Saccharomyces cerevisiae S288C: one gene and its partners. Changing the gene in region 1 together with any one later gene gives a genetic interaction. Each region holds a gene or a part of one and is shown in the gene's direction. Other genes may lie near its edges. The genes, in order: FAR11, SND2, TOR2 and INO2.

Region 1 (8,798 bases):
AATTCGCATTAGCACCTGAGTATATATCTGACATAAAAAGATTTCTGAAGTTATCGTCAGATAAGAAGATGGAGTCAAAATGTAAACAATAACTTTAACCTATATAAATTTTCTTACATTTGCTTTTAAATACTCGAAGATTTGCATTGAACGATCGTTGCCGTTGACTCATTTGAAACAGAAAAACAATACACGCAGGAAAGGAACGGCAGTTGGTCTGAGAAACAAAACCAACTTGCATTTTAGGCTGTTCCGATAGTTTATCAGAGTAAGGGAAAAAATAGCGTGCAAAAGCTATCGAAGTGTGAGCTAGAGTAGAACCTCAAAATATGACTTCGAAAAAAGTGATATTAGTTGCATTGAGTGGATGCTCCTCCAGTGGTAAGACGACAATTGCGAAACTTACAGCAAGTTTATTCACGAAGGCTACATTAATTCATGAAGATGACTTTTACAAACATGATAATGAAGTGCCAGTAGATGCTAAATATAACATTCAAAATTGGGATTCGCCAGAAGCTCTTGATTTTAAACTTTTCGGTAAAGAATTAGATGTGATCAAACAAACTGGTAAAATAGCCACCAAACTTATACACAATAACAACGTAGATGATCCCTTTACAAAGTTCCACATTGATAGACAAGTTTGGGACGAGTTAAAGGCTAAGTATGACTCTATTAATGACGACAAATATGAAGTTGTAATTGTAGATGGGTTTATGATTTTCAATAATACTGGAATATCAAAAAAATTTGATTTGAAGATATTAGTGCGTGCTCCCTATGAAGTACTAAAAAAAAGGAGGGCTTCCAGAAAAGGATACCAGACTTTGGATTCTTTCTGGGTGGATCCGCCGTATTATTTCGACGAATTTGTGTATGAATCTTATCGTGCAAATCATGCGCAGTTATTTGTTAATGGAGACGTAGAAGGTTTACTAGACCCAAGGAAGTCAAAGAATATAAAAGAGTTCATAAATGATGATGACACTCCAATTGCGAAACCTTTAAGCTGGGTGTGCCAAGAGATTCTAAAGCTTTGTAAGGATTAGGAAAGCGCCACAAAATCGATGAGAAGTATAAAAAAAAAAAAGTAAAAACAATAAAAATAAGAATGTGTACCTCGATAGATAACTTAAATAAGACAATTTCAGAACCACAATATTGATAACACCATCCCGATTTTTGAAATTATTTTTTTGGTGTAAATGAGAGAGGAGGGGAGTGAATTAGAAATGGAAAAAGGCTTCCTTAAATGGAAACCAGTCAACTTGATGAAGAAAATATTGTCTTTACCAATGAAAAAAACTAAAAACGATATAGGTTTGAGATTAGATATATCATATATTTTAGTTAATCTAATAGTCTGCTCATACCCGGTAAACACGTATCCAAAACTGCTTTATAGGAATAGCTTGGATGACTTAATATTGTTTCTAACAGTGTACCATGGCAAGGGAAATTTTAGAATTTTTAATTTTAGAGGTGAGAAAGAAGACAGCGATTATAAAGATAATGATCTTATTGGTATCGCTGCCAAGTTTGAGAGCAAAGATTTTGAAATTCAAGAATTACGTTCGACGCTGATTAATGATGGAAAGATACCAATATCACCCATTGATCTCGAAACAAGGACCTTGGTCGAAGAAGAAACCAATAATGTAATTTGTGAAAGGATCGGTTGGCTAGATCATTTTCCACCGCCATTTGAACTGCTGGAAGAGATTGTAGATGGTATAGAAAATTACCTGTCCGTTTCGAAGAATAGAGTGGCTGTTTTACATTGTCGAATGGGGAAAGGCCGATCTGGTATGATAACAGTAGCATACCTCATGAAATACTTGCAGTGTCCTCTTGGAGAAGCAAGATTGATATTCATGCAGGCTAGATTCAAGTATGGTATGACGAATGGCGTCACCATACCCTCTCAATTAAGATACTTAAGGTACCATGAGTTTTTTATTACCCATGAAAAAGCAGCCCAAGAAGGAATTTCTAATGAGGCGGTAAAATTCAAATTTAAATTCAGGCTTGCTAAAATGACGTTCCTCCGCCCATCAAGCTTAATCACTTCCGAGTCTGCTATTGTAACTACTAAGATTCAACACTACAACGATGATAGAAATGCCCTCCTAACCCGAAAAGTAGTATATTCAGATATCATGGCGCATGAATGCGGTGGTAATATGACCTTCATTTTTGGTAGGGACTACTTAACACTGGAAAATGATTGTCGTATAGAATTTACCCTGGGGACCAGCAAGTCCAAAGCCGCCAGTAGCATAATATCTTGGACTTCATGCGCCAGCTGTTGGCTGAATATATACCTTGAGACTTTGATGCACATAATTAAAGACGATTCTTCGCCAGATTACTTTCAAGTAGAGAGGTTAAAGAGAGACGAAATGCTTGGGACAACCATAAGCTGGCAAGAGCTGGACGGTTTTGGGGAGCTCAGCACTCACGGCTTGAAATTATTTCAGGCACTGAAATTGGAATGGGAAATTATATAGGTTTATGCATTTCGTCAAATCCATTCATTCGTTAAACTTAGTTAAAAGTGTTATATTTATTGTGAATTGGTTTGTTTTGGTAGGCTTTTTTCTATATTATGTATTCTTTTCCTTTTCTTCAATATTCTTGTATGGTACTTTAATTTACTGGCAGGTATTTTTTGGAGCGGTCAATTATATGAATCAAAACGCCATTCTAGAAACAGGAAGAAATATATGAGAACCAAGGAGTAGGTTGAAAGGCATTGTAGAGAAATTTTATTAGTATTTATAGCCGAAGAAGAAGGTTAAGTGACAAATTTTCATTTATAAGCCTCGCTAAAATGAATGCTAGTGGAAGATCTCATTCCAAAGGCCCCATTATAAGGTCTGTGTCTTTAGAAGATCTTAAGAGAAACTCTAGTTTCAAAGGCAATCTAAAGTACAAAGATGAAGTCACTTCACATAAAGAACCACAGGTCGGAACATTGAGCAACGAAGAACTGCTAAAAGATTTGGACAACATGTTGCGCGGTAAACTGAACATGGGAAGAAACAGTTTTCATGCCGATAAAAGAAATAAATCAGATGGAAATATCAGTGCCTTAACCTTCAAGGCAAGATCAGGTCTTGAGGGAGATATTCGTACCATAGATATACAGCAAGATAGTAGTGATGAAAATGATAATTTTAAGTTCAGTGATGATGGCGTTAATAAGGATAGAAATAATGAGAAAGATAATAATACTGATAACGCCGTTGAATTTCAAGACGATGCTGAAGAAGCTGAAGAGGAGAATGAGGATGAATCATTTGCTAATGTAGATGAACTGGATGGCTTTGATTTGAATAAGGTTTCTGATGGCAAGCATGTTCCTATCAATGAAAAGGGCGAAGTTGATTATAATATGCCGGTAGATAAAGAATTTCAGAAATCACTTGACCAGTGCGCAGCTTCACTTGAGGAAAGATCAAGTGCACCTTATGCTTTACAAAGAGCAGTGGACTGGGAATTGAAGATGTTTTATTCTTTGGAAGATGAACTGTCGGAATGGTTTTGCAGCTCTGATTATATGCATTTTGGACAGACACAGACTCTGTTTAAACAGAAAATTACGCAACCACAATTATTCTTTGATGATGAAAACTATGCTGCGAGCGTAGTTGAATGTTTAATTGAAGACATCCCCAATTCTTTAGCATCTAATTTACTCGCATTATCATATATTTCTATGGGATGCTTTGCGTTTACGAATAGCAAAAGTGAGCATACAAAGATTATACGACGCAACAATTTAATGCTTGTTCCTCATATTCAAGAAATTGTTCATGCCTTCAAGAAGATTGCAATAAGTTGTAGGGATGACAACAGAAATTTAAAGAAACAAACAATTTTGCTATTTCATTCGTCAACAATCCTATACTTCATATGCAGTATTTGTATAGAAGGTAGAGGAGAAAATCCGGAAGCAGTAAATGTTGTTATCGACGCTTTTGAGAAAACAGATTTGTTGGAATTTTTAACAAAGTATATTGAAAATTGGAGGTGGAATAGCAGATTAGCTATGCGCATAAGAAATATGATTTCTTTGCTCTTCAAGCTTATTGTATTACAATTTGGTGACAGTTCTGTCTACAAACAGACCAAATCATCTATTTATAATCTCCATGGCTTAACATATCCATCAAAGCATCCAGAAAAGCTTTCTATCTCCCCATTACATTATCAAGCATTCAGGGAGGACATTACTTCCCGTTTTCCTGATTACAATATGCCCAGTTCTGGCTTACCTAAAGATGTTGACAAATCAGAATCTCTTTCCCAGTTTCTGGAAATTCCTCGTCCAAAATCAAAGAATCCTCTAAATATGGCGCTCATTGTTCCTGAAAAACATATTGCTACACCTGCTCCTTCACCGCCAAGCTCTCCACAATTAATGCATTTAGGTGAAGGTCCTAGACCTCGTAAATCTTTCCAAACAAACATGGCATATCCGTGTTTGTATCCATCTGATAATGAAGGATCTGAAGATGACACTCTGGAAGATAGGATAGATTTAAATATAGAGAGAAAACCTGATAACGATATAGTTATTCCATTCAGTACCGAAGAGGCAGCGAGAATATTAAGCGAGAGTTTAGAAATTAAGCTGAGTACAAAACAACTTTGGTACGAAAGGGACTTATTCATGATAACTGAACGTGGTTGGAAACAGCAATTAGAAAATGAGCCATATGATTATGCCGCGCTTAATCATGATGCAAACTCTTCAAAAGAGGAAAAAAGTGCGATTTGCATTATGCAGCGAATTGACAAATATTATAAGAGCTGCCTTTCGAGCTTTAACTCTCTTGTTTTTGTCTTACTGCAAACAATGGAATCAAGCTTGACAAATAACTTTCATAGGAAAAGTGAAGTCTCCGATAAAAATCTTCTAAATATGCTGACACCCCAATTGGAGATCGTGAGAGCTAAGGAATTGTCCCTAAAGTCAGCAGCGGGCATATTACATGCGTTATTGAAGTGGTTTAAGTTAAGCCATATTTTGAAATTTGAACACTTGGCGGTAGTTATTCACGATTCGCGATACATCAACACATGCGCATCTATTTTAAGCAAATATTCTGAGGTTTATCCAGAGAGGGTTTTCAATAAATATGTACAAACCCCGAATTCATTTTGGAAGGAGTGTTCTCTCTCTAACGAGTCTTATCGTGAATCCTATTCAGTAGATGACTCAGGAGAGGTCGACACGGAGATTATGCCTTCGTTTGCATATCTGTTAAGAATCTTGAGAAAAGTCACAGGGAATAAAACACAAAGGTTAAAGGAGCTGCCCCTCTCCATCGGCATTCTATTTAAACGCTATTATCGGCTCTTCAACCTTGACATGTATCATCCAATATTGAAAATAACAAGAGAACTCACACCATTCAAAAACAAGAGGTGGAAATCCGAGCATATGGAATTGATATCGGGGGTTTACCTTTATGAAAAGCTGGAGTTAACTGATAATTGGGTAACAGGGAAGGATATATCAGGAGAGTTGAGCGATGCTTGTGGTCAAGAAATTGCACTCCGGGCCTTGCTTCAATTTTACAATTTTCAACACTATGAAATATCTATGGAGGACCTTGGATATGGACACCGTAATAGTTCCAGCCAAGATCTGTTAAACAAGGAATCCGAGTATTTGAATATTTAAATCTCTACTTACGGATACCGAGGCTCGGGGCGCGATGTTATTGTCATTAACAATCTCCTATCCCTCCCTATGTTTATATAGTTTTCAATGGAGGAGCATGAAAACCCCTTAAATAGTGTTTATTTGATCGCGCAATGGTGATGATTGGATCTTCATATCACAAGTGGGATACTAGGACAACCGTTGTTGGATTTCTATTATCATAATATATACGGGTAACGATTTTTGATGCGTCGCGTTTGTAAACAAAACTAAACAAAACAAACAAATATACTCATTTGATGGCTTCATCTGCATATAAGAAATAGAAGAGCCAGAATACTAAGCATAACCATAATATATATTACAGTCTATTTCAGTTGTAGCTGAAAAATCAATATGGAACTAGAGCCCACTCTTTTTGGTATAATAGAGGCATTGGCTCCTCAATTATTGTCGCAGAGTCATTTGCAGACATTTGTATCTGATGTAGTCAATTTACTGCGATCATCCACCAAATCGGCAACTCAATTAGGCCCTTTAATTGATTTTTACAAATTACAATCACTAGATTCGCCTGAAACAACAATTATGTGGCATAAAATTGAGAAATTTCTCGATGCTTTATTTGGAATCCAGAACACCGATGATATGGTAAAGTACCTCTCTGTCTTTCAATCTTTGCTTCCATCAAATTACAGAGCAAAAATTGTCCAAAAATCATCTGGGCTCAATATGGAGAACCTTGCTAACCATGAACATTTACTTAGCCCAGTGCGGGCTCCAAGTATATATACAGAAGCTTCATTTGAAAACATGGACCGATTTTCTGAAAGAAGGTCCATGGTATCTTCGCCTAATCGTTACGTTCCCTCTTCAACCTACAGTTCTGTTACTTTGAGACAGTTGTCAAATCCTTATTATGTGAACACTATACCCGAGGAAGATATCCTAAAATACGTATCATATACATTATTAGCTACGACATCGGCACTATTTCCGTTTGATCATGAGCAAATACAAATTCCGTCTAAGATACCCAATTTTGAGAGTGGACTTTTACATTTAATATTTGAAGCGGGTTTATTATATCAAAGTTTGGGTTATAAAGTGGAGAAGTTTAGGATGTTGAATATATCTCCAATGAAAAAAGCATTGATTATAGAAATTTCAGAAGAATTACAAAACTACACAGCATTTGTGAACAATCTGGTCTCTTCAGGGACAGTAGTGTCATTGAAATCGTTATATCGTGAAATATATGAAAATATAATAAGGCTTCGAATATACTGTAGGTTTACAGAACACCTTGAAGAATTGAGCGGAGATACATTCTTGATTGAATTAAATATTTTCAAATCCCACGGAGATCTTACTATAAGAAAAATAGCAACGAATTTGTTTAATTCAATGATTTCTCTTTATTATGAGTATTTAATGAATTGGTTGACTAAAGGTCTACTCCGAGCTACTTATGGAGAATTCTTCATTGCTGAAAACACTGATACAAATGGTACAGACGATGATTTTATTTACCACATTCCTATAGAGTTCAACCAAGAAAGAGTTCCGGCCTTCATACCGAAAGAGTTGGCATATAAAATATTCATGATCGGCAAATCGTATATCTTCCTAGAAAAGTACTGTAAAGAGGTTCAATGGACAAACGAATTTTCTAAAAAGTATCATGTCCTGTACCAGAGCAATTCTTATCGGGGAATATCAACGAACTTTTTTGAAATTATAAATGATCAATATTCTGAAATTGTTAATCATACTAATCAAATTCTAAATCAGAAGTTTCATTACAGAGACGTGGTATTTGCGTTAAAGAATATTCTTCTCATGGGTAAATCTGATTTTATGGATGCTCTTATAGAAAAGGCCAATGATATTCTCGCGACACCATCGGATTCATTGCCAAATTATAAGTTAACAAGGGTTTTACAGGAAGCCGTGCAGCTTTCTTCCTTAAGACATTTAATGAATAGTCCCCGTAATAGTTCTGTCATTAATGGATTGGATGCGAGGGTACTCGATCTTGGACATGGATCCGTGGGTTGGGATGTTTTTACTTTAGATTACATCCTCTACCCCCCTTTGAGTTTAGTATTAAACGTAAATCGTCCTTTTGGCAGGAAAGAGTATCTACGAATTTTCAATTTTTTATGGAGATTTAAAAAGAACAATTATTTCTATCAAAAGGAAATGTTGAAGAGTAATGATATAATCAGATCATTCAAGAAAATCAGAGGTTACAACCCGCTCATCCGTGATATTATCAATAAACTTTCTAGAATCAGTATACTTAGAACTCAATTCCAGCAATTCAACTCGAAGATGGAATCTTATTATTTGAACTGCATTATAGAGGAAAATTTTAAAGAAATGACCCGGAAACTGCAACGCACAGAGAATAAAAGCCAAAACCAATTCGACTTAATTAGATTAAATAATGGCACCATAGAATTAAATGGGATTTTAACCCCAAAAGCTGAAGTACTAACAAAGTCTTCAAGCAGTAAACCCCAAAAACACGCAATCGAAAAGACGCTGAATATTGATGAATTAGAAAGTGTACATAACACGTTCTTGACGAATATTCTTTCTCATAAGCTTTTTGCAACTAACACAAGTGAAATAAGCGTTGGTGATTATTCTGGGCAACCATACCCAACTTCATTGGTTTTACTTTTAAATTCGGTTTACGAGTTCGTCAAAGTTTATTGTAATTTGAACGACATTGGATACGAAATCTTCATTAAAATGAATCTCAATGATCACGAAGCATCTAACGGATTATTGGGAAAATTTAATACGAATTTAAAGGAAATTGTTAGCCAGTATAAAAATTTTAAAGACAGACTGTATATTTTTAGGGCAGATTTAAAGAACGATGGCGATGAAGAGCTTTTCTTATTGAGCAAATCGCTCCGTTAAGAAATGATCCCGTCCCGTTTTTCATTTATAATAAATTTCCTCCACGCAGGTTTAATGTATAAGTTGTAATGGTAGCAAATGATTTACAGATTTATTTGCAAGTAAAGAGACTCTTTTTTCGTTTTGTTTTTCCTGGATCCGCAACACAAAGTGTATTACATATGGATACATGGAATATCTT
Region 2 (6,562 bases), on another chromosome or scaffold:
TTGATTTTGAAATTTTTCATTGTTTGAAGGAAAAGTAACTTTTCGGGCCAATAGAGAAATAAAAATAAAAAATCATGTAGTGTAAGTTAAAGTGGGATTTCTAGGTGACGCTAACGCAGCCTCGATACCCAGGAAAGAGGCCGCAATAGTGTACAAAGCTTCGAATTTAAGTGATTAAGGGTGTTGGAGTATACTGAAACACGCTTTTTGGCCATTATGAAAAGGTGTGCTCCTGCCGTATTAAGAAATTATAATTATAAGAAGGGTATATGGAGTACCGGCGTACCTGATCATATAAGGAAGCTGCTTCGAGATAAATCGACGTCACCATTATGCTCACAGGATGAGAGAAACCTGGTCTCATATTTTATGGCGCGCGGAAGTGTTCCTCTAAAGTCGGTTGGCAGTGGATTAACAAAGAAAGCAACAACATCAATAACAAGTAATTCAGCTACCACAACATTTGAACGACAGTACCTTATAAAGTATCTTTATCGGCACCAGGCCTATGGGAACGTTATAAAAATTGCACAGAAGTTTCTTTATACCACTATTGGTTCACAAAGATTGTTAAAACAGGATGCCTCATTACCTGAATTGAAAAAGTTCCTTCTCTCTTTATTGATTTTACAAAGAGGTATTCAATTAGATCAGGCAATCTCTGATATCATACAACGGTTTCTATTAACACAAAAGACAATGGTGATAGACCTCATTAACTCGATTTTCTCTAGGATGGTTATAATGAATATGCATGAAGAAGCTGTATATAAATGGGTCAAATGGATGAAACTAGTGAATGGACATTGTGAATTTACGAATTATATGGAGAACAAGATAGTTTTGAGAAACTTTTTATCATTCATGAGGCAATCAAATGTTCGCCCCGATTATTTATCTTATTTGAAAGCAATTCAGCTAACGCAAGGGCCCGCAATAGCGTCTCAATTTGCAACTACGTTGTTGTTCTTATTAACTTATATTAGGAAATTTTCTTCTGCAGAAGCAGTTTGGAATTACAAGTGCGAACATAACCTGCCGATAGTGAGTTCTGACCTGACGTGTATTCTAAAGACGTATTGTCACATGCAGAAGTTTAATTTGGTTTCGTCAACATATTGGAAATACCCTGATGCTCAGCACGACCAAAACCAATTTGATTATCTTTTGGTGGCTCATTCTAGGCTGCATAATTGGGACGCCTTACAACAACAGTTCAATGCTCTTTTCGGTATCGGTAAGCTACCTTCCATACAACATTATGGTATTTTGATGTATACTATGGCCAGAATTGGTGAATTGGATAGTGTCAATAAACTATATACACAGTTATTGAGGAGAGGTATGATACCGACATACGCTGTTTTACAATCTTTACTATATGCACATTATAAAGTCGGAGATTTCGCAGCCTGTTTTAGCCACTTCGAACTATTCAAGAAATACGACATAACGCCTTCAACAGCAACGCATACCATAATGCTTAAAGTGTATCGTGGTTTAAATGACCTTGATGGTGCGTTTAGGATATTAAAAAGACTAAGCGAGGATCCTAGCGTGGAAATCACGGAGGGGCACTTTGCTTTATTGATACAAATGTGTTGCAAAACTACGAACCATTTAATCGCTCAAGAATTATTCAACCTTATGACTGAACATTATAATATCCAACACACTGGAAAAAGTATCTCTGCATTGATGGATGTATATATTGAGAGTAACAGGCCAACAGAGGCAATAGCATTATTTGAAAAACATTCAAAGAATTTATCTTGGAGAGATGGTCTAATTTCAGTGTATAACAAAGCCATCAAAGCTTATATTGGTTTACGAAATGCCAACAAGTGTGAAGAACTTTTCGACAAGATCACAACCTCAAAACTGGCTGTAAACAGTGAATTTTACAAGATGATGATAAAATTTTTAGTTACACTGAACGAAGATTGCGAAACGGCATTGAGCATCATAGATCAACTAATAAAACATTCTGTAATCAAGGTGGACGCTACACATTTTGAAATAATAATGGAGGCATATGACAAAGAGGGTTATCGTGACGGTATAATTAACTTGTACAAGACAATGTCACAGAATAAGGTACCAGCGAATTCCAAAATTTTATATTATATATTGAAGGCCGTTGCCAAAAAAAGCCTACAAAATAATGAGGAAATCAAGGAAACGATTAATATGGTAGAAGACATCATGGAAAATGCTGCCAATGGAACTCTCGACGTTACGTATAACAAACTGCATCCCTCGGTCATGGCATGGCCAATGAGAATGATTGTGAAACATGATAGCCCACAGCGGGCTTTAGAGTTATACAACCGGTACAATGAGCTTTTCTTCAAAAAGCATGATTGGATATCAAATAATAATAAATTTGTGATGATGAGATCATTGTTGGTATTACTAGCTCAAATTGAACAATGGAAAGATTTCGAAACACTTTTCGCTAAATACATGGATCGTATTGAAAACATTGAAAACTTGCCATCATCTACAACGCCAAATATTAAACTAAGAAGCATATTCAGCGGATTGTTCCCTTATAAAGTAAGTCAGTTGATTGCAATGAATAAAATCGATGAGCTGCCATTACTGTGGAAGAAATTGCGAGAAAAAGGTTTTATTTTAGATAATATATCGTGGAACAGCGCTGTAGAAGCGTTATTTAAGGATCCAAGAACCCTTTCGTATGGTATGAAAATCGTTGATGACACACTAATTCATGGGTATAATTTGATCCATAAATTTAGACTATTAACGAAACTATCCGAGGATAAGACGCAGTCCAGTGATAAATCTTGGCCAACATTAAAAATGAAGGAAAAAGAGCCCAATAAATTTCAGCCCAGACTATACTTAAAAAGCGATACATATAACAGTATAATGAGGCAGTTAGACACATATTTGGACGGTATTGATGATTTAAAAACTTTAGAAGATCAGGTACGTGACTTCATATCAAATTACAAGTATTTTATGAAAGATTACTTATTAATGCCAAGAAGCAAGATCAATAAATGGGAACAGATTGAAATGAGACATCTTTCATATTTTAAAGAACTGAGGAAATCTAAGAGAGTATTACCTGTGAGTAAATTCTAGAAATGCATATATCATATTGTATAATCAACTGCATATATATCAAAAAATCATGTAAATAATTAACAAAAATTGAGAGAGCAAAGACTAGTCTAAACTTTGTTTTTATTTTCCACGGTCAGTGTATAGTTGCCTACAGTTTCACCGTAAGTTAGCAAACCTACCCATGGTTGAACATTCCAGTGTAACTTGAAAACCAAATCCTTGCCTTCGAATTTTCCATCTTCAATATCCCAGATAGAATACTTGGATCTTAGATCGTTCACATCAATCACAGCATCATCCTTGCTTTTTATGATCTTATCCCAAAATGTTACCTCACTTGTTATTTTTTCAGTACTGTTATACTCAGCAGTTAGATAGACAAAAACTTGCTTTGTATTCCAATTGAATAGGGGAGTGAGATCTGTATTTAGATCAAATTTAATTTTCATATTTTCCTTTGCCTTGCCTCTCTGTGAGCCAAAATATCTACTTGTTCTAACATTTATTAAAGTTTTGACGTTATCGATATTACTAGGTACTGAGAACGCGTTATTATTGATTAATTGATAGTATGAGGATGCCATGATGAATACAACCATTACAATTCCCATTGAAAAGGCCTGGTTCGATACATTCTGGAATCTTTGGACAAAGGAGAACATTGTTCTGGAGAAGTGCGGCAATGCTAGCTAGCTTTGTGGGTCTTTGTCTCAGTGGAACTTAATAGGCTTAACAATCAACTTTTTTCTCCACGTCTACCGACTGTCATGAAATTAGTCGACCTTCGTTCTGCGCCTTTGAAATGAAAAATTTCAACGTAATTAAAAAAAGATAATAGATGAAAAAAAGGTAGTATTCACGTGTGGCTTCAAGAAGACACCAAAGGCAGTGGTCTAAGTTTGTGTTGGTAGAATGGCTGGCAAAGCAGGGAGGAAACAGGCTAGTTCAAATGCAAAAATAATTCAGGGCTTATACAAGCAAGTCTCTTTGTTTTTAGGAATGGCTATCGTACGTCTATTCATTTCACGTAAGGTTACAATTGGCCAATGGATTAAGCTGGTGGCTTTGAACGTTCCTATGTTCGTTGCTCTGTATATCATTGTGCTATCCGGTAAGCCCAAATATGATGGCAATCGCGTAGTAAAACAAGGTATAGACTTGAACGACAATACAAATTTGATATCATATTTTTTTGATTTGATATATCTATCACTTTTTGGTAACATTGGTATTATAGCTTTCAGGACATTCAAATTTTGGTGGTGTCTACTATTGTGCCCCATCTATGCTGGTTACAAGTTATATGGCCTCAAAAACATGTTCATGCCTGGCGCTCAACAAACTCAGGCAGATAATCGCTCAAAAAATGCTAATGAGGGACAATCCAAATCCAAAAGGCAGATGAAAAGGGAGAGGAGGGGTGAAACTGACTCTAAAATTAAGTACAAGTATCGTTAAACAAAGCTTTTCAAACGTTTTTGAAATTTTTTGCTTTCTATAGAGGAGTGTGAGTATATACAAAATAATATTTAGATATACTTAAAATGAGCATGCTACACAGGTATCTTCCAAAACACTGTCATAACGAAATTCTTATAGCCGTTCCATAAACGGGAACAATATGGGGGCAAAGTACGGCTGACATATGCATCCAACCTAAGGACATATTGTTTAAATATCTGCCTCATAGATTCACTTTGTAGGTACCTTAATTTGAAAAACCATACATAGGTTAGTCCTGCCAACATTGTACCCACTACCTCAAACGACACGTTTGCTCTTCTTACCAACAACAAGAAAAAATTGAAGGGCACTAAGAAGAGGCCCACACGTAGGCCGCAGATAATCTCAAATACTTGCGCCATCTGTAAGAAAAATCCATTGTAGTTTTGGATGAATACCGTTATTTTGGAGTTCAACAAATTTTTCAAATTAAGTGGTATCAAAGGCAAAAATGGCAAAAGGTTTTCCTTAAAATAGTTCAGGAAGTGAAAGATTGAAAAGATAACGGGACTGTATAACGAGCCGCTGATTATGATGTTAAACTGTGATAAGAGAAAAAGTATGAATAGCATGGCAAAATACTGCAAATTATCCAATTTCTTCATCTCTTGGCGCAAAAGCGTAAAATTGAACTTTAACTGGTCACTTTTGAAAAACTGGTAAAGAACGATGGCATATGTAACGGATATGTAAAATAATGATCTTCTATAGCATGACAATTGGTTTTGTTTGGACGTGATTGAAAGATGAAATTGTATAAAGTTAAAGATGGTTAAAAAATGGCCTATAAACCAATAAAACTGGGGTTGTTTTATTCTTGATTTGATAATGGTGCCAAATGGTGCCATGGGACGATTCCTGGGAACGGTCATATTGTTTTGTGCTAATTTTTTTTTACAATTATTCGAAATGAGTCTTGTTTGATCGTGGCCCCTTCTTTATTTCTGATTCCAAATCGAATTTTCAACTCTCTTATTAATATTTTTTCGGTGTGGATGAGAAGAAAAAAAATTTTTCTAAACTCTTCGAGAAAAGAACAATGAAAAGAGAACAGTAAAACGTCATAAAGCCTGTTAGTTCTTGACATAAAGACGGTAAAAGAATCGCATGTTTTCCAATGGAATCGAGTAGTCGAGTTTTGGGTCCATTCTATACCAAATACTGTCGTTCTCGGATACTAGTGACCATGGACCTGTCGTTCCCTTGTCCTTTCTATTGCCTACTAAGATAGTATCGATAAGAAATTGGATTGGGAACTTCTTGTTGTTGATGGTAATGTGAGAATAGCTTCCTGCACTCTCTAGTATGAGAAGATGGCAGCCTGGGGCACAGTTCTCGTTTAACCGTTGCAGAAATTTTATACTCTCCACTTTTTTCTGTGTAAATAGTTCATTTGTAGTAAAAAGTAGAGTTATTAGGTCGAGGCCTTGATATATCTTGATATCTTGTGGCTCTGTCATTTGTAGGCAGTCCTTGTGGGTAAAGTTGACGTTAAATGACTCTGCTTCTGAATCACCATATAGCCATTTCGACTTTATTGTAGCTGTTAGCTTTTCAACAACTGTGGACCAGTCGGCGATATCTACTAGTTGTATGTTTAAATTTCTAGGCTTTTTGTTTACTTCGTTGTCTATTTTCAAAGCAGAGGCAAATTTAGACGAAAAATCTCTCGATAAAGTGAATATGCTCGCTAATGCAACCAGCTCACCACCAGCGCCGCCACCTATGCAGAGCACATTTGAGTCCTTGTCATCAATTTCGCATCTGATAATCTTTAGAAGCTCAGGGAAATGTGCAAATACTGATGCGTAACTTGTTGCTCTGGACGGTGACCAACGACAACAATATGCTATTCTTTTCGAGTCGTTATTGAAAGCAGCATTGTAATCTCTGTTATAAAGGTCAGATTTTACCGCCTGTATTTGTTCAGTTAACGGTGACTTTTCATTGTCTTGATCTTTTG
Region 3 (11,406 bases), on another chromosome or scaffold:
TTCGATGCCTCCAAAAAAATTGAAGAGTTAGAGGAACAGAAGAAACTCTATCCGGACAAATTTTCCGCTCATAATGAGAATTATCTGAACAGTTTGAAGAATTCCGTAAAGACAAGCCCTGCATTGCAAAGAAAGTTCTTCTATGAGGCTGGTGCCGTGAAGCAATATAAAGGTATGGGGTTCCATCGTGACAAGAGGTTCTTCAATGTTGATACATTAATCAATGATAAACAAGAATACCAGGCTAGATTGAACTCAATGATCAGAACATTCCAAAAGTTTACTAAAGCCAACGGCATCATATCTTGGTTGTCTCACGGAACGCTGTACGGCTATCTTTACAATGGAATGGCTTTCCCTTGGGATAACGATTTCGACTTGCAAATGCCCATTAAGCATTTACAATTGCTCAGTCAATACTTCAACCAATCTCTTATATTGGAAGACCCAAGACAGGGTAATGGACGTTATTTCCTAGACGTCAGCGACTCCTTGACAGTAAGAATTAACGGTAACGGTAAAAACAATATCGATGCAAGATTCATTGACGTCGACACCGGCCTTTACATTGATATTACCGGTCTAGCTAGCACTTCTGCCCCTAGTAGGGATTACTTGAATTCTTATATTGAAGAGCGGTTGCAAGAGGAACATTTGGATATCAATAATATCCCTGAATCGAACGGTGAGACCGCTACTTTGCCCGACAAAGTAGATGATGGGTTAGTCAATATGGCTACACTAAACATCACTGAGCTACGTGATTACATTACCAGCGACGAAAATAAAAATCATAAAAGAGTCCCCACTGATACTGATTTGAAAGATCTTTTGAAAAAGGAACTGGAAGAGTTACCAAAGTCTAAGACCATTGAAAACAAGTTGAATCCTAAACAAAGATATTTTCTCAACGAAAAACTTAAACTTTACAATTGTAGAAACAACCATTTTAACTCGTTCGAGGAACTATCTCCCTTAATCAATACTGTTTTCCATGGTGTGCCAGCGTTGATTCCTCACAGACATACCTACTGCTTGCACAATGAATATCATGTACCTGATAGATATGCATTTGATGCTTACAAAAATACTGCTTATTTGCCCGAATTTAGATTTTGGTTCGACTATGACGGGTTAAAGAAATGCAGTAATATTAATTCATGGTATCCAAACATCCCCAGTATTAATTCATGGAATCCGAACCTCTTGAAAGAAATATCGTCTACGAAATTTGAGTCGAAACTTTTTGATTCCAACAAAGTCTCTGAATACTCTTTCAAAAACCTATCCATGGATGATGTTCGCTTAATTTATAAAAATATTCCAAAAGCTGGCTTTATCGAGGTATTTACTAACTTGTACAATTCCTTCAATGTCACTGCATATAGGCAAAAGGAATTGGAAATTCAATACTGCCAAAACCTGACATTTATTGAAAAAAAGAAATTATTACATCAATTGCGCATTAATGTTGCTCCTAAGTTAAGCTCCCCTGCAAAGGACCCATTTCTTTTTGGTTATGAAAAAGCTATGTGGAAGGATTTATCAAAATCTATGAACCAGACTACATTAGATCAAGTTACCAAGATTGTTCATGAAGAATATGTCGGAAAAATTATTGATCTGTCCGAAAGTTTGAAATACAGGAATTTTTCACTTTTCAACATTACTTTTGATGAAACTGGAACAACTCTAGATGATAACACAGAAGATTATACTCCTGCTAATACTGTTGAAGTAAATCCTGTGGATTTTAAATCAAATTTAAACTTTAGTAGCAACTCCTTTTTGGATTTAAATTCATATGGTTTAGACCTTTTTGCGCCAACTTTATCCGACGTTAACAGAAAGGGTATTCAAATGTTTGATAAGGACCCTATTATTGTATACGAGGACTATGCTTATGCCAAGTTACTTGAAGAAAGAAAGCGGAGGGAGAAGAAGAAGAAGGAGGAAGAGGAGAAGAAGAAGAAGGAAGAAGAGGAAAAGAAGAAGAAGGAAGAAGAAGAAAAGAAAAAGAAGGAAGAGGAAGAGAAGAAAAAGAAGGAAGAAGAAGAGAAGAAAAAGAAGGAAGAAGAAGAAAAGAAGAAGCAGGAGGAAGAGGAGAAAAAGAAGAAGGAAGAAGAAGAGAAGAAGAAGCAGGAAGAAGGAGAAAAGATGAAGAATGAAGATGAAGAAAATAAGAAGAATGAAGATGAAGAAAAGAAGAAGAACGAAGAAGAGGAAAAAAAGAAGCAGGAAGAGAAAAACAAGAAGAATGAAGATGAAGAAAAGAAGAAGCAGGAAGAGGAAGAAAAGAAGAAGAACGAAGAAGAGGAAAAAAAGAAGCAGGAGGAGGGGCACAGCAATTAAAAGTCGGAGAACCTGACTGAAAATTCATGAATCTCTTCATTTCTATAGCCTTTCCTCTATGCATTTGTATTATATATTTATTACCGTCATTTTTTACATACTGCTGCATTTTGGCGCCAGTGATAAGTGGCAAACAATTCGACGGAATCGTGGTAATTATACCACGTTACTCTATAACATCATGATATTGCAATTAATCAAACATACATTTAATCTTAATGCTATTAGCTTACTACAACTCTTTTCTTTAAGTTATATCGTATATTTCTTGGGCGATGTCAGAATATTTACCCGGATATTCCTTTTTAAGCACTGAATATGTTTGAATAGAGACTGACATATATGGCAGCAATTAAAATTGGAAGAAATGTAATGACAGTAGGAAAGACCAATTTTTATCATCGTGACACCAATCACTTCCTTAACTGAGCTTTACTTGTATTTATTTACAGGTAGATTAGGAGCAGTAGAAAGGGAAAATATACCGGGTGCATAAAGAGCATAGTCATTAAGATCAAATAGTTATCTTTCTCAAAGAGATTTCTGATCTTTACTTTCCCCATATGAAAAATGAATAAATACATTAACAAATACACCACGCCACCTAACTTATTGTCTTTACGACAAAGGGCCGAAGGCAAACACAGAACAAGAAAGAAACTTACACACAAATCGCACTCCCACGATGATGAGATGTCAACTACTTCAAACACAGATTCCAATCACAATGGGCCCAATGACTCTGGTAGAGTGATCACTGGTTCTGCTGGTCATATTGGTAAAATATCCTTTGTAGATTCAGAACTAGATACAACATTTTCTACTTTAAATTTGATTTTTGATAAACTTAAAAGCGATGTGCCACAAGAACGAGCCTCTGGCGCTAATGAATTAAGCACTACTTTGACCTCATTAGCAAGGGAAGTATCTGCTGAGCAATTTCAAAGGTTTAGCAACAGTTTAAACAATAAGATATTTGAACTTATTCACGGGTTTACTTCAAGTGAGAAGATAGGTGGTATTCTTGCTGTTGATACTCTGATCTCATTCTACCTGAGTACAGAGGAGCTGCCAAACCAAACTTCAAGACTGGCGAACTATTTACGTGTTTTAATTCCATCCAGTGACATTGAAGTTATGAGATTAGCGGCTAACACCTTAGGTAGATTGACCGTGCCAGGTGGTACATTAACATCAGATTTCGTCGAATTTGAGGTCAGAACTTGCATTGATTGGCTTACTCTGACAGCAGATAATAACTCATCGAGCTCTAAGTTGGAATACAGGAGACATGCTGCGCTATTAATCATAAAGGCATTAGCAGACAATTCACCCTATCTTTTATACCCTTACGTTAACTCTATCTTAGACAATATTTGGGTGCCATTAAGGGATGCAAAGTTAATTATACGATTAGATGCCGCAGTGGCATTGGGTAAATGTCTTACTATTATTCAGGATAGAGACCCTGCTTTGGGAAAACAGTGGTTTCAAAGATTATTTCAAGGTTGTACACATGGCTTAAGTCTCAATACGAATGATTCAGTGCATGCTACTCTGTTGGTATTTCGAGAATTACTCAGCTTGAAAGCACCTTATCTCAGGGATAAATATGATGATATTTACAAATCTACTATGAAGTACAAGGAATATAAATTTGATGTTATAAGGAGAGAAGTTTATGCTATTTTACCTCTTTTAGCTGCTTTTGACCCTGCCATTTTCACAAAGAAATATCTCGATAGGATAATGGTTCATTATTTAAGATATTTGAAGAACATCGATATGAATGCTGCAAATAATTCGGATAAACCTTTTATATTAGTTTCTATAGGTGATATTGCATTTGAAGTTGGTTCGAGCATTTCACCCTATATGACACTTATTCTGGATAATATTAGGGAAGGCTTAAGAACGAAATTCAAAGTTAGAAAACAATTCGAGAAGGATTTATTTTATTGCATTGGTAAATTAGCTTGTGCTTTGGGCCCAGCTTTTGCTAAGCACTTGAACAAAGATCTTCTTAATTTGATGTTAAACTGTCCAATGTCCGACCATATGCAGGAGACTTTAATGATCCTTAACGAGAAAATACCCTCTTTGGAATCTACCGTTAATTCGAGGATACTAAATTTACTGTCGATATCCTTATCTGGTGAAAAATTTATTCAATCAAACCAATACGATTTTAATAATCAATTTTCCATTGAAAAGGCTCGTAAATCAAGAAACCAAAGTTTCATGAAAAAAACTGGTGAATCTAATGACGATATTACAGATGCCCAAATTTTGATTCAGTGTTTTAAAATGCTGCAACTAATTCATCATCAATATTCCTTGACGGAGTTTGTTAGGCTTATAACCATTTCTTACATTGAGCATGAGGATTCGTCTGTCAGAAAATTGGCAGCATTAACGTCGTGTGATTTATTTATCAAAGACGATATATGTAAACAAACATCAGTTCATGCTTTACACTCGGTTTCTGAAGTGCTAAGTAAGCTATTAATGATCGCAATAACTGATCCGGTTGCAGAAATTAGATTGGAAATTCTTCAGCATTTGGGGTCAAATTTTGATCCTCAATTGGCCCAACCAGACAATTTACGCCTACTTTTCATGGCGCTGAACGATGAGATTTTTGGTATTCAATTGGAAGCTATCAAAATAATAGGCAGATTGAGTTCTGTCAACCCCGCTTATGTAGTTCCTTCTTTGAGGAAAACTTTACTGGAACTATTAACGCAATTGAAGTTCTCAAATATGCCAAAAAAAAAGGAGGAAAGTGCAACTCTATTATGTACGCTGATAAATTCCAGCGATGAAGTAGCGAAACCTTATATTGATCCTATTCTAGACGTCATTCTTCCTAAATGCCAGGATGCTTCATCTGCCGTAGCATCCACCGCTTTAAAGGTTTTGGGTGAACTATCTGTTGTTGGAGGAAAAGAAATGACGCGTTACTTAAAGGAATTGATGCCATTGATCATTAACACATTTCAGGACCAATCAAACTCTTTTAAAAGAGATGCCGCCTTAACAACATTAGGACAGCTGGCTGCTTCCTCTGGTTATGTTGTTGGCCCTTTACTAGACTACCCAGAGTTACTTGGCATTTTGATAAATATTCTTAAGACTGAAAACAACCCTCATATCAGGCGTGGAACTGTTCGTTTGATTGGTATATTAGGCGCTCTTGATCCATATAAGCACAGAGAAATAGAAGTCACATCAAACTCAAAGAGTTCAGTAGAGCAAAATGCTCCTTCAATCGACATCGCATTGCTAATGCAAGGGGTATCTCCATCCAACGATGAATATTACCCCACTGTAGTTATCCACAATCTGATGAAGATATTGAATGATCCATCGTTGTCAATCCATCACACGGCTGCTATTCAAGCTATTATGCATATTTTTCAAAACCTTGGTTTACGATGTGTCTCCTTTTTGGATCAAATTATTCCAGGTATCATTTTAGTCATGCGTTCATGCCCGCCGTCCCAACTTGACTTTTATTTTCAGCAACTGGGATCTCTCATCTCAATTGTCAAGCAACATATTAGGCCCCATGTCGAGAAAATTTATGGTGTGATCAGGGAGTTTTTCCCGATCATTAAACTACAAATCACAATTATTTCTGTCATAGAATCGATATCTAAGGCTCTGGAAGGTGAGTTTAAAAGATTTGTTCCCGAGACTCTAACCTTTTTCCTTGATATTCTTGAGAACGACCAGTCTAATAAAAGGATCGTTCCGATTCGTATATTAAAATCTTTGGTTACTTTTGGGCCGAATCTAGAAGACTATTCCCATTTGATTATGCCTATCGTTGTTAGAATGACTGAGTATTCTGCTGGAAGTCTAAAGAAAATCTCCATTATAACTTTGGGTAGATTAGCAAAGAATATCAACCTCTCTGAAATGTCATCAAGAATTGTTCAGGCGTTGGTAAGAATTTTGAATAATGGGGATAGAGAACTAACAAAAGCAACCATGAATACGCTAAGTTTGCTCCTTTTACAACTAGGTACCGACTTTGTGGTCTTTGTGCCAGTGATTAACAAGGCGTTATTGAGGAATAGGATTCAGCATTCAGTGTACGATCAACTGGTTAATAAATTACTGAACAATGAATGCTTGCCAACAAATATCATATTTGACAAGGAGAACGAAGTACCTGAAAGGAAAAATTATGAAGACGAAATGCAAGTAACGAAATTACCGGTAAACCAAAATATCCTAAAGAATGCATGGTATTGTTCTCAACAGAAGACCAAAGAAGATTGGCAAGAATGGATAAGAAGGCTATCTATTCAGCTTCTAAAGGAATCACCTTCAGCTTGTCTACGATCCTGTTCGAGTTTAGTCAGCGTTTATTATCCGTTGGCGAGAGAATTGTTTAATGCTTCATTCTCAAGTTGCTGGGTTGAGCTTCAAACGTCATACCAAGAGGATTTGATTCAAGCATTATGCAAGGCTTTATCATCCTCTGAAAACCCACCCGAGATTTATCAAATGTTGTTAAATTTAGTGGAATTTATGGAGCACGATGACAAACCATTGCCTATCCCAATCCATACATTAGGTAAGTATGCCCAAAAATGTCATGCTTTTGCGAAGGCACTACATTACAAAGAGGTAGAATTCTTAGAAGAGCCGAAAAATTCAACAATCGAGGCATTGATTAGCATTAATAATCAACTTCACCAAACTGATTCTGCTATTGGTATTTTGAAGCATGCGCAACAACACAATGAATTGCAGCTGAAGGAAACTTGGTATGAAAAACTTCAACGTTGGGAGGATGCTCTTGCAGCATATAATGAGAAGGAGGCAGCAGGAGAAGATTCGGTTGAAGTGATGATGGGAAAATTAAGATCGTTATATGCCCTTGGAGAGTGGGAAGAGCTTTCTAAATTGGCATCTGAAAAGTGGGGCACGGCAAAACCCGAAGTGAAGAAGGCAATGGCGCCTTTGGCTGCCGGCGCTGCCTGGGGTTTGGAGCAATGGGATGAAATAGCCCAGTATACTAGCGTCATGAAATCGCAGTCTCCAGATAAAGAATTCTATGATGCAATTTTATGTTTGCATAGGAATAATTTTAAGAAGGCGGAAGTTCACATCTTTAATGCAAGGGATCTTCTAGTTACTGAATTGTCAGCTCTTGTTAATGAAAGCTACAATAGAGCATATAATGTTGTTGTTAGAGCGCAGATTATAGCAGAGTTGGAGGAAATCATCAAATATAAGAAGTTGCCACAAAATTCAGATAAACGTCTAACTATGAGAGAAACTTGGAATACCAGATTACTGGGCTGTCAAAAAAATATTGATGTGTGGCAAAGAATTCTGCGTGTCAGATCATTGGTGATAAAGCCAAAGGAGGATGCTCAAGTGAGGATTAAGTTTGCCAACTTATGCAGAAAATCGGGTAGGATGGCGCTAGCTAAAAAAGTCTTAAATACATTGCTTGAAGAAACAGATGACCCAGATCATCCTAATACTGCTAAGGCATCCCCTCCAGTTGTTTATGCACAACTGAAGTACTTGTGGGCTACGGGGTTGCAAGATGAGGCTTTGAAGCAATTAATTAATTTCACATCTAGAATGGCTCATGATTTAGGTTTGGATCCAAATAATATGATAGCTCAAAGCGTTCCTCAACAAAGCAAAAGAGTCCCTCGTCACGTTGAAGATTATACTAAGCTTTTAGCTCGTTGTTTCTTGAAGCAAGGAGAATGGAGAGTTTGCTTACAGCCTAAATGGAGATTGAGCAATCCAGATTCGATCCTAGGCTCCTATTTGCTCGCTACACATTTTGACAACACATGGTACAAAGCGTGGCATAACTGGGCACTGGCCAATTTTGAAGTCATTTCTATGCTAACATCTGTCTCTAAAAAGAAACAGGAAGGAAGTGATGCTTCCTCGGTAACTGATATTAATGAGTTTGATAATGGCATGATCGGCGTCAATACATTTGATGCTAAGGAAGTTCATTACTCTTCTAATTTAATACACAGGCACGTAATTCCAGCAATTAAGGGTTTTTTTCATTCCATTTCTTTATCAGAATCAAGCTCTCTTCAAGATGCATTAAGGTTATTAACTTTATGGTTTACTTTTGGTGGTATTCCAGAAGCAACCCAAGCTATGCACGAGGGTTTCAACCTAATCCAAATAGGCACATGGTTAGAAGTGTTGCCACAGTTAATTTCTAGAATTCATCAACCCAATCAAATTGTTAGTAGGTCATTACTCTCCCTATTATCTGATCTAGGTAAGGCTCATCCGCAGGCATTAGTGTACCCCTTAATGGTTGCGATTAAATCCGAATCTCTCTCACGACAGAAAGCAGCTTTGTCCATCATAGAAAAGATGAGAATACATAGTCCAGTTTTGGTCGACCAGGCTGAACTTGTCAGCCACGAATTGATACGTATGGCGGTGCTTTGGCATGAGCAATGGTATGAGGGTCTGGATGACGCCAGTAGGCAGTTTTTTGGAGAACATAATACCGAAAAAATGTTTGCTGCTTTAGAGCCTCTGTACGAAATGCTGAAGAGAGGACCGGAAACTTTGAGGGAAATATCGTTCCAAAATTCTTTTGGTAGGGACTTGAATGACGCTTACGAATGGCTGATGAATTACAAAAAATCTAAAGATGTTAGTAATTTAAACCAAGCGTGGGACATTTACTATAATGTTTTCAGGAAAATTGGTAAACAGTTGCCACAATTACAAACTCTTGAACTACAACATGTGTCGCCAAAACTACTATCTGCGCATGATTTGGAATTGGCTGTCCCCGGGACCCGTGCAAGTGGTGGAAAACCAATTGTTAAAATATCTAAATTCGAGCCAGTATTTTCAGTAATCTCATCCAAACAAAGACCGAGAAAGTTTTGTATCAAGGGTAGTGATGGTAAAGATTATAAGTATGTGTTGAAAGGACATGAAGACATTAGACAGGATAGCTTGGTCATGCAATTATTCGGACTAGTTAACACGCTTTTGCAAAATGACGCTGAGTGCTTTAGAAGGCATCTAGATATCCAGCAATATCCAGCAATCCCATTATCTCCGAAGTCTGGGTTACTGGGTTGGGTACCGAATAGTGACACGTTCCATGTATTAATTAGGGAGCATAGAGAAGCCAAAAAAATTCCTTTAAACATTGAGCATTGGGTCATGTTACAAATGGCACCTGATTATGACAATTTAACGTTGTTGCAGAAAGTAGAAGTCTTCACTTACGCCCTAAATAATACGGAGGGACAAGATCTTTATAAGGTGTTATGGCTGAAGAGTAGGTCATCGGAAACGTGGTTGGAGCGTAGAACTACTTACACTCGATCGCTAGCCGTGATGTCCATGACCGGTTATATATTGGGGTTAGGTGACCGCCACCCTAGTAATTTGATGTTGGATAGAATCACTGGGAAAGTCATTCATATTGATTTTGGTGATTGTTTCGAGGCTGCTATATTAAGAGAAAAATTCCCCGAAAAAGTACCTTTTAGATTAACTAGAATGTTAACATATGCAATGGAAGTGAGTGGAATTGAAGGTAGCTTCCGTATTACTTGTGAGAATGTTATGAAGGTACTTAGAGATAACAAGGGTTCATTAATGGCAATCCTTGAAGCTTTTGCTTTCGATCCTTTGATCAATTGGGGTTTTGACTTACCAACAAAGAAAATTGAGGAAGAAACGGGCATTCAACTTCCCGTGATGAATGCCAATGAGCTATTGAGTAATGGGGCTATTACCGAAGAAGAAGTTCAAAGGGTGGAAAACGAGCACAAGAATGCCATTCGAAATGCAAGGGCCATGTTGGTATTGAAGCGCATTACTGACAAATTAACGGGGAACGATATAAGAAGGTTTAATGACTTGGACGTTCCAGAACAAGTGGATAAACTAATCCAACAAGCCACATCAGTGGAAAACCTATGCCAACATTATATCGGTTGGTGTCCATTCTGGTAGTTTTAATGTATTGAAAATCACTTAGTTGTATATAGCCTGTAAAAGTGTTGTATAAAAATGCATCTCATTCATTAATGTTTAGTTCCGAGCGTGACGTTACTAACTGCGAAAAAAGTTCCTTCGACTAGTAAATATCAAAGGCGAAAACATAAGTATATGGGAGAATTATAACAAGTTAAGTGATGATGATAGGATAAGATAATATAGGATACATGTTATATACAAACTCTAGATAATAAAGATGAAAAATGAAAAGGAAAAGAACATGCTTTTAGATAGTATGTTCACTGTGTTTTTGTCGTTTCCTGTCAAGTACTCGCTCGTTACGCATCTCATTTTATATTCTTTTTAGAGTTTAATCCTGGTGGTAACTGGTTTGTAACATTTTTGCCATTGGCATTAATAATAGATGGAATTGGCATAGGGGAGTTACTACCAAAACCTTGCTGGAAATTAGGGGGGAAATTTCCTTGTAGCATCATATTTGGATAAGGTGGCTGTGGCTGTTGTCCTGTTACCGGTAACATACCATTTGGTGGGATTGGGAACCCCTGTGGTAATGGTGGCATTGGGCCGTTAGGAAAGTTAGGATGCATTGGAAAAAACCCTGGAGGTGGGGGTGGTGGCATGTATTGCTGTTGAGGCAGATCTGGCGTTGCTGTTTCCTCTTGTTTTCCCTTGCTATTTCTTGTTCCGTTTGGATTTTTATTTTGCCTTAATTGCCTGTCTTCCTTCTTATTTACATCTTTAGAATCTTTCTGGAATTGAACGAGACCTGGTGGCGGTGGCATCATGCGTTGTGGAAAATTTGGTGGTACACCCATCACAGGAAATTGTGGACCCTGATGAGCAATTAGTCCTGGGGGTGGAGGAGGAGGAGTACTAGTTTCACTTTTACCTTTATTCAATAGCCCATTGAAAAATGCGTTGTTATTAGGAGGATGCTGGGTAAATGCCATTGGTTGCATTTGTTGCGGTTGCTGCTGGAATTGCGGAAGAGTCTGCATCTTTCCATTATCTTTGTCTGAGGCTGATAACAACTGCGATTCTGCATTTGGA
Region 4 (6,808 bases), on another chromosome or scaffold:
AATGAATGTATATAAATGTTACATGTGGAAGAGAGCGTTCCACAGTAATAGAAGCCTACTGGAAGTTAAACGTCGTGAAAAGAGTCTCCAGAGAAAAATTTTGGAAAGGATTCTTAGACCCAAGGAGGAAAATGCTGTCAAAAAATCTGGATTCAAGCTATGGTCAAGCCATTTGAATAACCCACACAAAACTTATATGCGGCTGGAGGAATTACAGAGACGTATTATGGAAGAGGTACACGTTGAAGGTATTAAAAAGAATGATAAGTTATTCAACGAAATAAATCAATGGCATTTCCAAAATGAAAACACAAGTACTGTTCGAACACCAACATTGCTGATACATGGCTATGCCGCATCTTCAATGTCTTTTTTCAGAAATTATCCAGGTCTGTCCAAGCACATCCGAAATTTATACTCAATTGACATGCCAGCGAGCGGATTGTCTTCAGTACCGTCTTTAGAGATCAATACAACAACACCTCTGCCGTTAGATATCAAATTTATTGGAGAAAATAAATTTAAGGTTCCATATACAATAAATGCAAATCACAATAAATTTGTGATTCAAATGTACGAAGATTTCTATCTCGACAGAATCGAGCAATGGCGCATTGATAACAAATTGGGCAAAATGAATGTTGTGGGGCATTCTTTTGGCGGATATTTATCTTTTAAATATGCTGTTAAATATCCAAACTCGGTAAACAAACTTTGCTTGGTATCCCCACTAGGAGTGGAAAGGAATATCTGGTCTGTAAATAATAATTTCCACTCCAACACTCTTTATACTATCGATTTTAAAAATCCAAATTCCAAGTTTTACTCCAAAAGAAATATGATTCCAAAATACTTATTTGAACAACAATTTCACATTTTGAGAATGATGGGACCATTAGGAGCTAAGTTATGTTGGAATTACATAATGGCGGCATATAGCCGAGTCCCATCGTTGGCATACAAAGAGTACATATTTGAACTGTTTTACGGTAAGGGAGGTATACCGGAGGTTACGACAGATATTTTCAAAGCGTTATTTTCAAGATGTATCCTAGCAAAGGACCCCTTGATGGATTCTCTGCAATATTTAAATGTTAAGAAATTATTGATAGTATATGGGCAATATGATTGGATGAATAAAAAAGCCGGTATGTTCATGGTCAAAGAGTTGAACAATTTAAAGAACTGTCTAGAAGGAGCAAGTTATTTAGAAATACCTTCTTCCGGTCACAATCTTTTTTTAGATAACCCAGAATCATTCAACCAATCTATAGTGTCCTTCTTATCAGACGAAACTAAATCGCCTTGATAGCAACCAAATCAAGTAGCAAAGAGCCAAAAAATGTGTTAATGTATGCTATCCCCCTTTTTGCTTTTGCGCTCCTCACACCTCTTTTCTTTGCTTTGAAATTTTTCTCAAATAAAATCTTTACAATCATCGCTACTAGTTAATTCATCCAATTTAGTGAGGAATAACGGATCAAATTCCACTAAATTTTCTAATCGAGATATGCTATTCGAATAATCCTCCGATACAGGGTCTTTCGGATATTCCCTGGGGAAATACTCTGTGTCACTTTCTTTTGAAGGAAGGATCATCGAGGGTGAAGAATCGCTTCCACTTGACTGTTGTAACAAATCTTTTTCTACCTTAACCATTTTATTTACATCAAATCGACGACTATGGTATGATTTTTTCTGTTTTTGGGCTAGGTCATTTAAATCATCAAGTGATATGGTCTTCTGCTTGAAATCTTTGTTGCACAAGCATTTCGCAATTTCGAAAACATTTTTCATGATTACTTTCTTCACAGTTTCTTTCTTAAAAATGGTCATTGCGGCGGTCACTCCTGTAAGCTCGTCCAAAATCTCAAGGCTGAAGGGAGATTGCGGTAGAACATTCATAATTATCGTGCACATCAATTTCAGTCGATCCGCTTTCTGGAGGTGGTCCGGCTCTTTATGTTCTACATCTTTTGGCCACCATTCCGGCCTTCCAGCATTGCCTTTAATGTATGGAAACCTGGTTTTCTTCCTTGGCTCAATAATTTTTATCCACAACTTAGCAATCGCCTTGCATGGGACCTGTCTTAATAATTTAAAAGCCGTATACAGATAATTCTGTATTAGTAGGGGTTGATCTAAGGGTAGCATGATCGCTGGTTGGATATTTTCTTCATAAACAGTTATTCTTTTCCTATTTACCAATGGATCGAACGTGAGTGGAGGGTTTTTTTCAATTGAAGATGATATAAAACTCTCTGAGAACAAGTTTTTTGGAATTGACTCACTTATTAAATGGTCTTTTTCCTTTATGAACACCATAAACTCATATCCTTGACCATTTAGCAGCGCCAGCGCCCTTCTAAGCTCTTCCATACCTATACGCATGTACTTAAGCTGACTCTATCGAAAAATGACGTACGCACAAATGCACATGTATACATACGCAATCCATCCTTTATATAAGCTGAGAAACAAGCAGAGGAACCTGCTTCAGTTGGGCCATCCCTTCGATGCTATATACTTCTAATCTTAAACTCTTCACTAAGACTTCGCAGGCACCGCTTCAAGGATGTCTCAGGTCGCGAGATTACTACAACAACTTAAAACAACCCTGATGCAACTGCAGCGTGCTGTTTTTCAACAGTACAAGAAAAAGTTCCATATTGTGCCATTGCCGATGCCATTGCAAAGGAATTTGTTCTCAGTCGCATCTCTCCTTTACTGCAGATCTGAGTTACTTTGAATCCTTGATAATATGGATCGAGTGCCTCTTCCATTATTTCTATTATTATAATCTCAACGCTTAATATGAATTAACCAACCACACTCAAACCAAATCTACGCCAGCTACAAATGGTAGGAGAATGAAGACACACCAGGACTCAAACAGGATTTCCCAACAATGTCTTTCAACATGCTGCTTGCCGGTCACTACTGCACTTCCTGCGCCTTTTCCGTTGAATCACCCTCCATAGTGCGGCAGATGGAACCAACCTAACCTTTTTTCAGCAGGAGGTAAAAAATTCGCCGGTTTTCTATCTCCCTCCGTCATCGGCAGGGCGTTGACACCTGTCCAAGTACAACACACATGTGAATTTTTTTCAGTGATTAAAGGCTCATCTCATCATATCTTATTGTAATCAGTATTTGGCGTCATAAGCAATTCGAAATTGGTTCGGTTCCATCTCGTTGACGTGCAATAAATAAATACATGGAACAGCAAAGGAGAAAATGCAACAAGCAACTGGGAACGAATTACTGGGTATCCTAGATCTGGATAACGATATAGACTTTGAAACTGCTTACCAAATGCTCAGCAGTAACTTCGACGACCAAATGTCTGCGCACATACATGAAAACACGTTTAGTGCAACTTCCCCTCCTCTGTTAACACACGAGCTCGGCATAATTCCTAACGTAGCAACCGTGCAACCCTCTCACGTAGAAACTATACCTGCCGATAACCAAACTCATCATGCTCCTTTGCATACTCATGCACACTATCTAAATCACAACCCTCATCAACCAAGCATGGGTTTTGATCAAGCGCTTGGTCTCAAGTTGTCTCCTTCCAGTTCGGGGTTGTTGAGCACGAATGAATCGAATGCCATTGAACAGTTTTTAGACAATCTAATATCACAGGATATGATGTCTTCCAACGCTTCCATGAACTCCGAATCACATCTACATATAAGATCACCAAAAAAGCAGCATAGGTATACCGAATTAAATCAAAGATATCCTGAAACACATCCACACAGTAACACAGGGGAGTTACCCACAAACACAGCAGATGTGCCAACTGAGTTCACCACGAGGGAAGGACCTCATCAGCCTATCGGCAATGACCACTACAACCCGCCACCGTTTTCAGTACCTGAGATACGAATCCCAGACTCTGATATTCCAGCCAATATCGAGGACGACCCTGTGAAGGTACGGAAATGGAAACACGTTCAAATGGAGAAGATACGAAGAATAAACACCAAAGAAGCCTTTGAAAGGCTCATTAAATCAGTAAGGACCCCACCGAAGGAAAACGGGAAAAGAATTCCCAAGCATATTCTTTTAACTTGTGTAATGAACGATATCAAGTCCATTAGAAGCGCAAATGAAGCACTACAGCACATACTGGATGATTCCTGAGCTCATACAAGCTATTAGTGATGAAAATGGCCTCCCGTTGGATGTATTTTTAGTTAATTTCGTATACATGGGCGAAAATATCATATGATTGCAAAGCTGGTCATGTAAATATATTCATTATAAACCAGACGGTAGAAAATCTCGTTTCTTTCCAGAGTGTAGCGTAGATTTTTGCGGACAAGAATTACCAGTATCTTCATTTTATTTAGAAGTTAAGAGAATCCGGAGGCAATGATGGTGAAGTAAAGAAATCTTTCAACGGCGAAGTATAATCTGTCTTCACAAACAGAATAACTGCGTACAAACTCGCAGTTATATGACCGTTACGAGTTGTATTGATTCAGTGAAGTAATAGTCCTATTACATCCATATGAATCCTGTCCTGGTAAACGGTGCAATGATCGCTCTACGTATACAAATTCTCTCCATCAATCGATGATGAACTGCTTTACACATAAAGTACGTGCCATTTATTTATAAATAATACCAATTAAGGGACGAAAATATTAACTGCTGAGTGTCTGCTTAGGTCCATTCTATTTCTTCTTTCCAAAAGAGAATAAAAAGAATCTATATATATATATAAATTTCTATCGAACGGATATTCTTGTTTTCGAATATCAAAAATGTAAGCTGTGGTTTCTCAGGGAACGTGTTACTTACAACTTTAGTTCTTTTAATATACTAGAAGCCAGCTCTTTATACAACCAAGTGTTCCCAGAAATTTTCTTAAAATGCACACCGGCTAAACCAACAATACGAACCTTGACGATATGAATTTCGAATTTGATGGGCTCTTTTTCTGTTGTAGTCATGCCTTCGCTACCGTCACCTTGTTGGTGGATGTTCTCCAAAGATGTTCCCGAATGCTTATCATCTCCATAGGTTTCGGTAATAGATGTTTTTCTCTGGTGAATGGAATTAGTTGTCAAAGGAGAAGAAGGTGAGTATTTATTAGAGCCTTGACGTCTAATGGATTCGTGGTGCGAAAGTGGCATGATCGATCTTGGAGTCCCTTCTCTCTTCGCTGCCACATTATTGGAAGAGAACCTTTGCATACAAACAAAACCACCCTTAACCTCCTTGAACTCTATATTCATTTTCCTCAGAACAAACATAATCTTGTATCTAACAATTGGCAAAGGCTTCGATGAAGTTGTCTGAACAGAAAAGAAACCCTTCAAAAATAAAGAACGGGGGAAATCGATGGATGGCATAGAACCGGCTGGAGCTCTAGAAGCTTCCTGCAATATCTCTTCATCTGTTAATTCCTTCTCCACAGATGGCGAGTTTATGTGTGCGTTCACAGAATGCACGCTGACGCTATCATTCGTCTGTGAAGTAACATTTCCCAAACTATCGGATTTGTTATCGTCACTTGATTCTAAGAACCCAGTATCTATAAGCTCTTGCTGAGGATAGGCAGATGAAGGCATTGGGGGTCTCATATATTTGAGTGATTCACGACGAGCATGACCAACTGATTTAGCTCTTGCGCTTGGATGTAGTTTTCGACCTTTTGCAACATTGAGAGGTGGTAAGGGATGATTCTCGTCGTCGTCGCTTCCTTCAAACTTCTGTGCAGCGTAAGCTTCCCGCCCGCTTCCTTTTGCAACTTCATTATTCTGTTTATTAATATCATGCAATTTCATTATATCTTCTTCAATTTGCTTCTCCCTTTGCTTCTCTACCATATTTTCTGCATCCGCAGGCAATGCTGGAAAGTCACCTTTATTGCCACCTCTGCTATCGTTTGTCTTGACAGGCTCATTCATGGTATAATTTGAATCATAACTCGGTTTAGCAAAACCAGGGACAAAGTCTGAAACAGCGCGAGAATGCGTCTTTTGCACAGGTTTATTGATACTATTATTACTATTAACAGATGTCTGTTCAATGGTCTTTTTACGGCGCTGTGATAATTTTCTAAATATATTCCCAAACTTCGCCTTTTCTGAGGGATCGCCAGTAGTTGAAGGTACCCTAAATTGTTGATAGTCATTTCCCTGAGGAGTTGGAGAGAGAGCATATTCCATTTCACGGCGTTGATTATCAGAACTTTTTCTACTCGTTGGTGACGTATGCGCTTGTTCTGGCATTGCTAACCTCGGTGGAATTAAGACATGTAAGGGGGGCTCTGTGCCATCGCTATTCTTTGGAGTGAATGGCACAGAGGTATCTTTTGTCGCCAACGTGGCTTCTGGCTCTGATTTCATAGCGGTTGTATTGACCTCTACGTCCCTTTGCTTCACACTTTCCGGTATTTCAGAAAGCTTTTCTATATTTTCGTGGCTCTGTCGCTGTTGTTGATTCCGAATTTTCGCATGTTTCCTATCAAGCATCTCAGAAGTCAAGTAATATATGGAAATCATTGGATGATATGCCCGAGTTGGGTCTTCAAAACTCTCTGTTATGTTTGGCGCGTTTCCGTTATCACTGGATTCTGCGTTCATTTTGGCCGCTAAAGTCCAGTATTGTCTAGAGAGAAGAACGTAAGTAGGATCTGTGATTATACTGACCAAAACACTTCTTGTTTCCTCTACATCGTCAATAAATTCTAAACGGTACATTTCTTTTAAGACATTTATATCAAGCATTTCGATAGTTAGGGGAACTCTTTTCGGTAAGTAAGAAGGAGGGGGACCATTGAACCCTC

Evidence for each region.
Region 2: mutations in FAR11 (region 1) and SND2 together harm fitness more than expected from each alone (negative genetic interaction), as found in Saccharomyces cerevisiae (2 studies listed by BioGRID).
Region 3: mutations in FAR11 (region 1) and TOR2 together harm fitness less than expected from each alone (positive genetic interaction), as found in Saccharomyces cerevisiae (3 studies listed by BioGRID, with this or other methods).
Region 4: mutations in FAR11 (region 1) and INO2 together harm fitness more than expected from each alone (negative genetic interaction), as found in Saccharomyces cerevisiae (2 studies listed by BioGRID).

The regions. Positions count from the first base shown.
Region 1 is NC_001146.8:381,151-389,948, forward strand, and holds FAR11 (Far11p), read left to right. Parts: upstream 1-2,836; coding exon 2,837-5,698; downstream 5,699-8,798. Other genes in the region: DGR1 (Dgr1p), read right to left, coding at 95-241; NRK1 (ribosylnicotinamide kinase), read left to right, coding at 330-1,052; TEP1 (putative phosphatidylinositol-3,4,5-trisphosphate 3-phosphatase), read left to right, coding at 1,209-2,513; SPC98 (Spc98p), read left to right, coding at 6,077-8,617. UniProt on the Saccharomyces cerevisiae protein: Participates in the control of the reentry into the cell cycle following pheromone treatment.
Region 2 is NC_001144.5:264,365-270,926, reverse strand, and holds SND2 (Snd2p), read left to right. Parts: upstream 1-4,008; coding exon 4,009-4,554; downstream 4,555-6,562. Other genes in the region: PET309 (Pet309p), read left to right, coding at 217-3,114; signal peptidase complex subunit SPC3, read right to left, coding at 3,204-3,758; PER33 (Per33p), read right to left, coding at 4,650-5,471; BMT6 (25S rRNA (uracil2843-N3)-methyltransferase), read right to left, coding at 5,673-6,562. UniProt on the Saccharomyces cerevisiae protein: Functions in the SND pathway, a SRP (signal recognition particle) and GET (guided entry of tail-anchored proteins) independent pathway for targeting a broad range of substrate proteins to the endoplasmic reticulum.
Region 3 is NC_001143.9:54,876-66,281, reverse strand, and holds TOR2 (phosphatidylinositol kinase-related protein kinase TOR2), read left to right. Parts: upstream 1-2,922; coding exon 2,923-10,347; downstream 10,348-11,406. Other genes in the region: MNN4 (Mnn4p), read left to right, coding at 1-2,352; EAP1 (Eap1p), read right to left, coding at 10,680-11,406. UniProt on the Saccharomyces cerevisiae protein: Phosphatidylinositol 3-kinase homolog, component of both TORC1 and TORC2. TORC1 regulates multiple cellular processes to control cell growth in response to environmental signals. Nutrient limitation and environmental stress signals cause inactivation of TORC1.
Region 4 is NC_001136.10:695,898-702,705, reverse strand, and holds INO2 (Ino2p), read left to right. Parts: upstream 1-3,237; coding exon 3,238-4,152; downstream 4,153-6,808. Other genes in the region: ECM18 (alpha/beta hydrolase family protein), read left to right, coding at 1-1,309; YDR124W (uncharacterized protein), read right to left, coding at 1,417-2,391; serine/threonine protein kinase KIN1, read right to left, coding at 4,812-6,808. UniProt on the Saccharomyces cerevisiae protein: Positive regulatory factor required for depression of the coregulated phospholipid biosynthetic enzymes. Also involved in the expression of ITR1.